Linked DNA regions of Astyanax mexicanus. The protein of the gene in region 1 interacts with the protein of each later gene in a pairwise test. Links are inferred from orthologs where the notes say so. Each region holds a gene or a part of one and is shown on either strand. Other genes may lie near its edges.

The links.
Region 2: the proteins of c4h5orf22 (region 1) and WW domain-binding protein 11 interact in binary tests that used the Homo sapiens proteins (3 or more experiments, as listed by UniProt). The two-hybrid records come from large-scale screens. The link is inferred for Astyanax mexicanus from reciprocal best matches to the Homo sapiens genes C5orf22 and WBP11.
Region 3: the proteins of c4h5orf22 (region 1) and elof1 interact in binary tests that used the Homo sapiens proteins (3 or more experiments, as listed by UniProt). The two-hybrid records come from large-scale screens. The link is inferred for Astyanax mexicanus from reciprocal best matches to the Homo sapiens genes C5orf22 and ELOF1.

The regions. Positions count from the first base shown.
Region 1 is NC_064411.1:36,990,782-36,994,537, reverse strand, and holds the start of c4h5orf22 (UPF0489 protein C5orf22 homolog), read right to left. Parts: upstream 2,246-3,756; 5' UTR 2,119-2,245; coding exon 2,050-2,118; intron 1-2,049.
Region 2 is NC_064410.1:8,168,321-8,172,076, reverse strand, and holds the start of WW domain-binding protein 11, read left to right. Parts: upstream 1-1,163; 5' UTR 1,164-1,418; intron 1,419-2,148; 5' UTR 2,149-2,158; coding exon 2,159-2,222; intron 2,223-2,944; coding exon 2,945-2,976; intron 2,977-3,071; coding exon 3,072-3,165; intron 3,166-3,678; coding exon 3,679-3,756. UniProt on the Homo sapiens protein: Activates pre-mRNA splicing. May inhibit PP1 phosphatase activity.
Region 3 is NC_064426.1:39,527,231-39,530,986, reverse strand, and holds the start of elof1 (transcription elongation factor 1 homolog), read left to right. Parts: upstream 1-1,467; 5' UTR 1,468-1,478; intron 1,479-3,756. UniProt on the Homo sapiens protein: Factor involved in transcription-coupled nucleotide excision repair (TC-NER), a mechanism that rapidly removes RNA polymerase II-blocking lesions from the transcribed strand of active genes.

The DNA.
Region 1 (3,756 bases):
ATTTATCTGTCTTTGATATAATATCATCTTATTTTTGAGGAGGTTTTCTTTTAAATGTCAAATCATTGCACACACAATCCGAATACCCTGAAGTTTATCAGTAATCAGATCATCACATTTACATGAACTTGAGTAATCAGATAATGAGAAACCCAGAGTTTACTCAGATCAGGAACTAACTAGGTTATTGGTTTGTAAGCAATAAAATTACAGTATAAGATGCAAACATCATGAAAACCTAAACTTCATGACACACTTTTTTTTCAATTGAGCCAAAATATGAAGGTACATCAACTAGATAAAATATTTTGTCTCTATCTCTCTTATCGCTTATAAAAGGTCACCAAACCCTCTGATTTTAGCTGACTCCACCCTCAGCTCAAATCTGAAAAATGTATTAAAAAAAAAAAAAAGCTTAAAAATGTTTTTGTTTGGGTGGGGCACTGGGTGATGCATGGGTTTAGAGAGAGCTAATTGGGCTGAGCAATTTGCCTCTGATAAAGATGCAGATATTTGATTTGGACATTACAAGGGGGTGGTATTATTGATTGACTTATTTGCATACTGTGAGTGTCTGAGTACCAAAGTACATAGACATCTCATCCTTGCCTATAGCACAGTTGAACCTGCAAGGGGACTGCAGAGGTGGAAATAACTGCAATACAAGCTTTTTTTTTAAAGGTTAAGAAAGGTTTATTTAAAAAAAAACTGAAGCAGGACTGGTATGTTTTATTACATCAAAGGAACACATTTCAGCTATTAATGAAAAGAATATGGTTTAGGGGTAAGTACCTCGGTAAACATGGTCTGTTTTTACTCATGCACACACTAAGGGCCTTTTCGCATCATCAGTAGTGTAAAAATTTGATTTCTGCTCTGCTCTCCTCCTAGTACCCCTAAAGAAGTCTAGGGAAGTGCTGCACTAAAATACTAGTTAAAATCATCCATGTTTTTTGGTCTAAAATTTTTCCTTGGTTGCATGAGAAAGAGCCTTAAGTAATTTAAGAATACTAAAGCCCTATACGGGAGGGAATAGTTTCTCAGAGAGACGTCTGTGAAAAATATTTTACACTTCTACTCAGTGATAAAACTCCTGCATCCGGTCTGCAATTGAAAAAAAAAATAGGAGGACTAGTGAGTTTTTTTTTAGAATTTTAGCTTTCTCAGTCACATGACATCGCATTCAGTAGCTCCTCCATTTCCACTCGCTGTTGTGTTTACGTGGATCTCCGTGGAAACGCGCACCCAAAGTGCAATTACGGCATGTGGCAGTGAACAAATTTTATTTAAACTATTTTATTAAACGCGAGGTGATGGAACTCAGAGATGTGCAGAGATGTGCATACTGAGCTAAAATCCACCTCTTTTTAATCAGATTGCTTAATTGGAATTTTGATAAATACTTTGATTTATGAAATTCAAATATGTAGATTATATTACTGATTGAATAATCAGATAACAGAAATCAATATCTGAAAAAATGACAGATTAATCGATTATCAAAATATTTGTTGCAGCCCTACTTTTACACTGTAGGCACACATCTGGCATCACTACAGTAAATAAAGGAGGTTTATCATTAATCTTGTAGCTCCAAATTTGCCCTATTTCTTTTACTGCATTTGTGGTAGAGCAAACTTTGTAAATTAGAGTTTATTGCAATTAAATTAATTAGATTGCAATTGTATTCCGTACACTGTAATATAATATTAACTAAAAGGCTTTTATCACATGTTAAGGGGGTTTTATTAGTTTAGGTTGGATGTTTAATGCTCGAATTAAGACAGTTTTGCAGTTCTGGTCAATTCTCCCCACACTCAGAAATATGACACAGAACTATTATTAATATCTGCTAATATTATAAATACTATTAATATATCAGTCATTATTAATCGCAGCTGTATCTCTAAAGTTTGAGTACTAAGCTAACTAACTAGGTTATCTAACCTAGTTAAAGCTAATAAACACTGTGCTCTGGTTTTTTTTTTTTTAGCCAAACGAGCTCATTTAGCTTAATTTATCTTAGCTTAGCTAGGAGGACTGACTCACTTCATGGTGGTCTTCTACAATCCACACGGGCAGTTTGGAGTAAGTCCGTTTCACCGGCGCTGCTTTCATTTTGATAAATATATAAAAACTGCTGCTGTATTTTAAACGCAGCCTGTCAGAAAGTCATGGTCGTGAGAGTCTAGTAATCAGGCTAGCTGCTAACAACAACAACAGAGGGAAGAGTTTCAGTGAGACACGGTGTAGCCCTGATTCAGCTCCGGGCGGGAACAGCGCTTTACAGTCCGCTCTAAATCAGAAACAGACTGGGAAAAAAATCACATAAACCATTTAAAACAGATAAATTCAATGTATATCAACATGTCGACCTCATATAATCACCTAATTAATATAATAATTTTTTAACTTAATCTTTTTTTAAAAAAAGAAAAAGTATGTAAATTGAGTAAATTGACGTATATGCTTATATTAAAGGAAACTAAACCGTAAACCCAATTTAAAAAAAAATAATAAATAGCTGAAATGTATTCCTCTGAAGCAATAAAACATACAAGTGCTGCTTTTAAAATGTTATAATAATTTTCTAATAAACTCAATAAACTTTCATTTAAGCCAATAAACTCTCTCTGCTGCCCCAACTTTAAACCCATACATCATACGTCCTAGTAGAAATCCCAGATTTAATGTGCTTATTTTAAATTTACACAGCGTATGTGCTAATATATGGTGCTTAGATTTATGTTTATGTACTTCCAATGCTAGTTCTATTCTATTGACATGTTAGATGCCTTAACTTATGTGTTTTGTGACCAGAGTGGTCTCCTGTTGGATAATAGTTGTATATTTGAATGTCATTAACTTTATATGTTTAATGCTCAAACTTTCTGTATTCTTTTTGAAATTGATCTAGCAGTGGTCGTGGCCAAAGTCAAACTGTGCTAATCAATCAAAATCAAATACAGCAGAGGATAAAATCAGGGGTCAGTAATGTATTTTGACCTCCTATTGGTATCTGTATTTGCACATGTTTATAATGCATTTAGTGTCTGGCTGATGAAGAATCTGCCAGGCAGTTTGTTGCAACGACCACTGTGCTTCTTTCAGTCCAGTAATACACCCTTCTTATAGTTTGTCAACTAGGCAAAATGTCTACATGTGCATCATAGGGGCATGTCTAACAGTCAACAGACTCTCATCAAGAGGTTCGCTACCCAAAAGTAACCTCTGTGAGCCTGTTATAGGTAAGTTTATGCCCCCTTGTAGAAAGACCACACCTGTAATTAGTTGCATCTGCCTTAGACATGACTGCTGAGTTTTGCAACAGTGTTGGGTGTATGATTTTTTGTCAGTGAGTGTATTTCTGATTCTGAGGTTAGTGGCGATTCTGAGGTTAGTACCTGCTTGCTGTTTGTTTAGCTCGTCTCTGTTGCTAGTCTCTGTTTTAGCTATTTGTTTACGTTTTCTACTACTTATTAACTTTTAACCGTCTTATAACCTTCCTAAACTTATAAAATCCCTCAGGTAGCCATTATTTTTGTGTTATTTCTCGATTTTTGCCGTTGTTTTTGTGTGTTTGTGCTTACTTCGAGGTAATGGCGTGTGCGGAGGATCGTGCTCTTCTGACACTCAGCGAGGAGCTCGTCTGTCTGGATCAGCAGATCCAGCGCCTGCTCGAGAGGCAGTCGGAGCTCCACCGGCAGAGAACGAGGCTGGAGGAGTCCCACGACGCCGCCTTTGCGGCCGTCTCCA
Region 2 (3,756 bases), on another chromosome or scaffold:
GTACATGCCTTTTGCACGTTTCAAGCCGCATAAGGCATATTTTTTGGGCCCTTACAATAGCAAAGACACAATCACATGCCCTGCATCCAGCTGCACAATACTCAATTGAATATATACAGTATATATATAATATGTATGAAATATTTACTGCTGCCTGTGGGACTGATGCTGCTTTTAAGTGCACCTCGGAAGCTCATTCTGACGATTTCAGACTAGTAAATGTGACGTAATTTCGAAGTAGTAACAAAATTAAAATGGAAAACTGAAACACAATAAAAACAAAATGCTTTTTTGTTTACTTTTGTGTTATATAATTGAAATATATTTACAGGTACTGCAAACAAAGCAAACTAACAAAGAGCAATGTAAAAGCATTAGGTAATCAACAATTTTGTCCAGTAATCAGTATTAGTAGCATGTACAGTACAACTGTTATGAGAATAAACAGTTAGAGTAAGCCGATTCCCCATAACACCACCTCAGCACCAGATGCTTCATCAGTCCATAGGCTACACTGTGTGTGCAATGTACCCACTATCATTAGCATTATTAGTAATTACATCAGATCATACCAGAGTTCTTCTGGTTATTGTTTTTAATCTTACAGGAATTAATGTTCCAATTGATTTCCTCTTTTAAATACAGAGTGGTGTATCAGTGTGGCATATAATTTTAAACTATTTGAAAGTATTATCAGCAGACTGGGGTGAAGTGTGTTGTAGGAGGTGCAGTTTGTGGTTGGGGTGAAGTGTGTGGTAGGGGGTGCAGTGTATGTTAGGATGTGCAGTATATGCTAGGGGTTCAGTGTATGGTATGAGGTGTAGTATTTGGTGGTGAGTTAAATGTGTGGTTGGGGTGAAGTATGTGGTAGAAGGTGCAGTTTGTCATAGGGGGCGCAGTGTGTGGTAGCGGGTGCAGTGTGTGGTAGGAGATGCAGTATGTGGTAGGAGGTGCAGTGTGTGATTGGGGGTGAAGTGTTTGGTATGACGTGCAGTTTGTGGTTGGGGATGAAGGGTGTGGTAGGAGGTGCAGTGTGTGGAAGGAGGTGAAGTGTGTGGTAGGGGGTGCAGTTTGTGGTAGGGGCCGGAAGGAGGTGCAGTGTGCTGTAGGGGTCGGTAAGGGGTGCAGTGTGTGGTAGGGGCCGGTAGGAGGCGCTGCGTCGCCCCGCTGTGTTTCCCTCCAGCTCAGAAGAAGACGGCGGGAAGTAAATATGGCGGCTCGCACACAGCGCGCTAATGCTAGCGCTAACGATTCATAAACACATCAAAAAGCGAATTAATCAACCCGGAGTTCATCAATACCCCGATCTATAATCCCGCACAGCGCCGCCGGAGCGGCCGCTTCTGCCCGGCGCGGAGGATCCGAGCTCCTGCACAGATTTACCAGACAGACCGAGCGGCTAGCGGGACAATAAAACAGTAACTGCCTTTATCATTGCTATTATTACTAATATTAAATTATTCACTGATATTTTAACTAATATAATATTATTTACTGATATTGTCAGGTATTTTAAAGGTTTTTGGAGTGATATAACCGTAAATTCGTTATTAGCTGCACGTAAATTCACAGTTAGCTTCCAATTCCTGGGTGCACCTTAAATCCTGCAGCAAGTGCTGCAGATTTTAAGGTGGAACGAAAAGTTAGCTAGAAAACAAAGCCAAATTCTCAGTTATTAGGGCACATTTTGGGACATATACAGGGTTAATGCTCTTTCGCTGACAGGGACAAGTTAACATTTATCAGTTCAGTCATCAGATTAACCAATTTTGGCACTCTGTAACAACAAAAGTGGAAAAAATCTAAAACGTAATTATTTAATAATTTTTTTTCCTCTAACTGAGATTCTGACTGTGAGAGGCAGAAATGCACAGCTTATAAAACTGTAAATACTAATGAAAACCATTTTGAGCTGACTTGTTGAAAATGTACTGATAAACATCACACATTACAGTGGTCTGAAAGGCAAACTTAAATAAACATTAATTATACATTCATGGGAAAACTATATGTCCTGACATAGTTTAACTTAATTCCTTTAGAAAAAGTCTGCCGTGTTTCATTTCCATAATTTACTGCAGAAAAAAGAACAGGGAGGTGTGTGGTGAGTGAAGGTGTGTTAAGGTGTGTTTGTGTTGTATTTTGCAGGTGAGCAGCCATGGGTCGCAGGTCCACCTCCTCCACCAAGAGTGGGAAGTTCATGAACCCCACAGATCAGGCCCGTAAGTTCTCCGCCCGTAACACACACACACACACACACACACACACACACACACACACACTCACACTCACATACACTCCTATACACTCCATCTGCCATGGAACCCACACTCTTACACATTGTACATCCTGTAACACACACTCTTACACATTGTACATCCTGTAACACACAATCTTACACATTGTCTATCCTGTAATAGACAACTCTCGCACTCTGTCCATTCTGTAATACACACTCTCACACTCCAACGTCCATCCTCCAACTCACCCTGTTATACACTGTCTGCCCAGAAACACACACACACACACTCACATACACTCCTATACACTCCATCTGCCATGGAACCCACACTCTTACACACTGTCCATCCTGTAACACACAATCTTACACATTGTCTATCCTGTAATAGACAACTCTCACACTCTGTCCATTCTGTAATGCACACTCTCACACTCCAACGTCCATCCTCCAACTCACCCTGTTATACACTGTCTGCCCAGAAACACACACACACACACACACACATTGTCCATCCTGAAACTCACACTCCATCCACCCTTGAACACACAATTTCACACTCCATCTTTCCTGGAACACACACTGATACACTTGTCCACCCTAGTCTTTTGCTTCCTCTCAGTGCTTCTCCCTCTCACATGATAGTAATGCTGCTGATACCTCAGACTAAAAATGCTTTTAAAACTAATGTTTGTGTGTGTTTAGGAAAGGAGGCCAGGAAGAGGGAGTTGAAGAAGGTAAACACAGCTTTTTCAGTACTGAGCATAAGGTGTTTATACGTTTTGTGTGCCACAGCAGATTTACTGTGTGTGTTTGTGTGTGTGTGATCTAGAACAAGAAGCAGAGGATGATGGTGAGAGCGGCGGTGCTGAAGATGAAGGACCCCCGCCAGATCATCAGAGATATGGAGAAACTGGATGAAATGGGTAAAAGCTGTGTGTGTGTGTGTGTGTTTAGTGTGAACTTTTGAACTAAATATTCATACTAAGTTCAGACTGCAGGCAGATCAGATTAGTTTCTGATATCAGATCTGTTAAGATGACTGTCAGCTCTTGTCCATTATTTGTAAGTGATGAGATTGAATTTGCATGTCTGGACATCACAAGCATATCTGCACTGGTTGCTGTGGTTTCCAGGTTAGAATCAGTAACTAGCCATTGGTGCTCTATTTGTATCCTCACACTTTCATTTTTAAATGTGATGAGGTTGTTGTTTGTCGTGTTGTGAAAGAGGTACAGGAACCTGAAATTAAATTTGAGAAGCATCTGTACATATACAGATTACCTTTTTATCAGATTTATTGTGGTGTCTGTCTGTCCAGACTATCAAAATCATTCTGAATACAAGGTTTGCCAAAAATCCGATTTGGGCTGGGACTCTTAACGTAGCCTTAGATTCTTGCTCATTAATGTGTGTGTTCTTCTCTTTCTCTCTGGTAGAGTTTAACCCGGTGCAGCAGCCTCTGCTGAACGATAAGGTTCTGAGAGATAAGAGGAAGAAGCTCCGCGAGACGTTTG
Region 3 (3,756 bases), on another chromosome or scaffold:
TGCTTGATCCAGCAGCCCGTGATCCTCTCTGGTGAGCCGGACCCTCTTGAGCCGACGGCTGAAGCTTCGTGTAAGATTCTGTCCATGTGTTTCGTGCGTTTAGCGCAATCGCTGAGCCCGGACCAGATCTGCCGTGTAGAGTTAGGCTGAAGACATGAACGCGGGCTCACGCAACCCATCTGTTCGAATGCACTCGTCTGTCCTGAATGCACCCTGTTCTCTGGACGCACTTTCGCTCTGACAAGTGCTGTATGGGGTTTGGACGGCTCCCGGGGTCTGTCCTGATCGATGAGTAAGCTGCTGGGATGGTATTAAAGCTTTTTATCGCACTGATCAGAGAAATTAAGCTGCAAAGCCATAGGTATTATGGGAGCTAACCCACTACAAGAAGCTTCCGTCAAAACCCGTCGCTAACACCTTTTCCGGGGAAAGAGAGGGAAAACCTTGACTTAACTTGACTTTTATTTCGCATTATGGGTTCTGGATTAGGTTTTTTTTATTACAGATGTGCACTGACATGCCAAAATGTAGTGTGCTGTGTGTGGACATGCCATCCTTTATTCTCAGTGGACACTGCTGTCCTTGCGTGGTACGTTATCTTTGATGCACGTTACGCAAATTGAAGTTTGTTCATATTTAATTACTTTTATTACTTTAACAAGAGACCCCAGCCCTAAAATGGATTCATTGTGAAACGTTGCCATATAAAGTGGCTTCAGATTGGGAACACTCAGAGCTGTATAAGTTGTAAGGTGTTATCTTGAGAATGAGTGTGCTCATTGTTAAAGGCAGTCCTTATATGAGTCCCACCATTTCCGAAGTTTATAGAAGGGATCACCAGCCAAAGTGGTACAGGGCAATGTTAGCATTGGTAATGATCATAACCAGCGGCATCTGGCTAAAAATGTCCATGTGAAAAGACATGATACTGGTTATGTGATGTGTCTGTGTATATTTGAGAGTATTACCTCAGAAAGATGTCTGTTAATGAATGAAGAACTTCAGGTTTATGGAAAAAAATAAAAAAAAAACCCTCACCCACACTTAGGTTTGGGAACGTACCCAAACTGCACCAAGGACATGTGATATATCTTTCAGTTTCTTTCCCCCCAAACTTCAGTCTCAGCCCGAGTTGGACTTGGCCTTGGCTGTTATTGGCATTACCACCCCTGTAGCTGGCGTCTGTACACATTCTTTAATTGAGCCTTTAAAGCACCCCTCACAATTTTTGTGGTGAGAATTCGAAACCTGTAAACGTTGAGCGGGATAATTATTGTTTAATTCCCCATATTTCATTCCTGAAGGCAGCAATGAGCCTAAGCGATTCAAGCCTTGAATGAAGAACAATTTTACACATTTCCATTAACCTTCTGCAGCTATCCTCGGGGACAGTTAGCCTTTAGCTTTTATGTGGCTCATGGAATCTCAGTGTTCTTGGAGCCAGGAGGACATGAAGGGTTTGTGAGCCTAGCGGAGCTTTTTTTCTTCACAACGGTTCGCCAATCGAGTGACCGGAGAAACAAGCACAAGGGAACAGCCAGCGTGGAAAGAGCCTCCATCCAACGTCTCATATAACCCCAATTAAAGAGCCATTCAGGGCTGTTTCTGCAGAAACCATTTCCAGACCTTCTTCCTTCTCCTCCCCCTCTTTATATCAGTGTCTCTCTTTACCTCATTTTCTCTCTTTCTTTTTCTTTTTGTTCATCTCTGCTGTCCCATTTTCCCACTCTTTTCTCTCTTCCATCTTGCTCTTCATCTCTATCTTGCCAGCACTCCTTCCCGTAGTCTCTGTTGTTTTTTCTTTTCTTCTTTTCTTTCATTTGTCTTACGATCCCAGTGGGGTGACTCGGTGAGGTATTTCCTGCTGTAAGTCTTTCCTGCGCCGCTCTCGCTCTCTGCCCTGGGAGCTGTGAACCAGAGCAGGCGCCCGGCCCGACAGCAATGGGCCAGCAGAGAGCGAAACTCGACCTCCGTCCTGGCCCTGGACTCGTCCAAACATATGAGAGCATTGGAAGCCACGCTGATCCATCAGTAGCATCCACAGATCTGAGATGTTGTCTGGTTGAGACAGATTAAGCAGGGAACTTTGCCCACTCTACCCACGCTTACTTGCTGTAACCATCTCCGACCTGAAAGAGATGTGTGCAGGGAAGGTGGTGTCAGCCAGCAACCCCCTTGTGCTTTGAGCAATGACGGCTTCCTTTGTTCCCAGCAGTCTGCAGGAACTGACGTCAATGGAGATGTTGCTGTTCAAGCTCTGAACAGAGAATGGCCGTCTTTCTGGAACCATTTCAGCTTGGATCGCAAAAAAATGGGAGAAGCTTCCTTTACTTTCTAAGAATGCCGTAGGTGTCGTACCTAATTATCTACCATCTTAATGAATGATTTCACCTGTATTTTTCCATGGAGCATGATTTGTTCCTTTGCAATCTTTCTTGTTTGAATCTTTTTGATCGGTTGACCAACTCTTATGAACATTCCAGGAAACAGGGTTTATTATGCCATGCCATTTATTTTCCACAGAACAGTGGTGCAACTTTAGCTAAGTAGTTAGAGCACTGGGTCATTAATATCAAGATTGTGGGTTTGATACCCAGTTCTGATAATCTTCCCTGGTTGGGCCATTGGGCAAGGCCCTTAACTGTCACTGCTCCAAGGTCACCAGAGAAAGATTGGAGTCCACCCTAAAGTCTCTAGGTTTTGGGTACAACATGGGTACAACAGATTACTCTAGTGATTTCTCAATCTACTTGAAGTTTGTCAGATCCTGGTAGGAAAGCAGAAATTGGTACAACATGTGAAAAAGCAGTTTGACTCACAATTGCCACCCGACCTAGGATTTTCTACAAACCAATCAATGTCAAATATTAGGAAACACAGCTGTCATAGGTAATGTTGATGAAAAAGTTCTTTATTGAACTTGCTAAACTGCAATGTGAAACCAAAGCTGACAAAATTGACCAAATGTCTTGCATACAATGTAAAAAAAAAAAAAAAAACATGAACTTTGTCTCAGACTTTGGTCTGTACTTTGAGGTGTAAAAATGCTTTACACCTGAAGGTTCCAAAAGCATTTGCAGCCTTTTAGCCCAAAGGAGAAGCTTTCAGGTGTTTTCCACACTTCACTGCTTAAGAGTCCCCCAAGGTGTTATATGAACCCTTGAACTTGCACGTACCTCTGAGTGTCTATGAATGGAGCGTCTGTACTTTTGATACAGTATTACGTTTTTTACGGATTCGTTTTTACCTTCATTGATCCCTGATGAATTGACAGAGCTTTAGAAGGCATTTTTGAGGTTCATCACTCGTTTTATTTTGCTAATCGTGGTCAGCGGCAAGAGCTGGTCACCTGACCTTTTCTTTTTCCATTTGTCTTTCCTTATGTCTGTTTTTCTTTCTTTTTTCTTTTTTCCTGTGTCTTTTTTTCTTTGTCCTTCTATATTACTCTGTTCTTTAAGCTGGAGATGGCTGGAACTCATCCTGTGTTTACATGAGATGGGAAGCGGCTCAATGCAGTCCCCCCCCCGCCTCATTTTTTTCCCCCTCCTGCTTCAGGCCGGCAGTTCGGAGGGTAGACGTGGCCAACAGCCCACATCTGCAGTTTGGAGCGATGGAATTTGAAACGGAGGCAAAATATACAGGAGGGTTTGTTTTCATCCCAAGTGCTCCCACAAAGCAGAACAAGAGAAATAGAAAGCCGGAGAAAAAAGGAGAGAAATGAATGCTCAGGCAGTCCGCCGCTGGATCTTCTTTCCA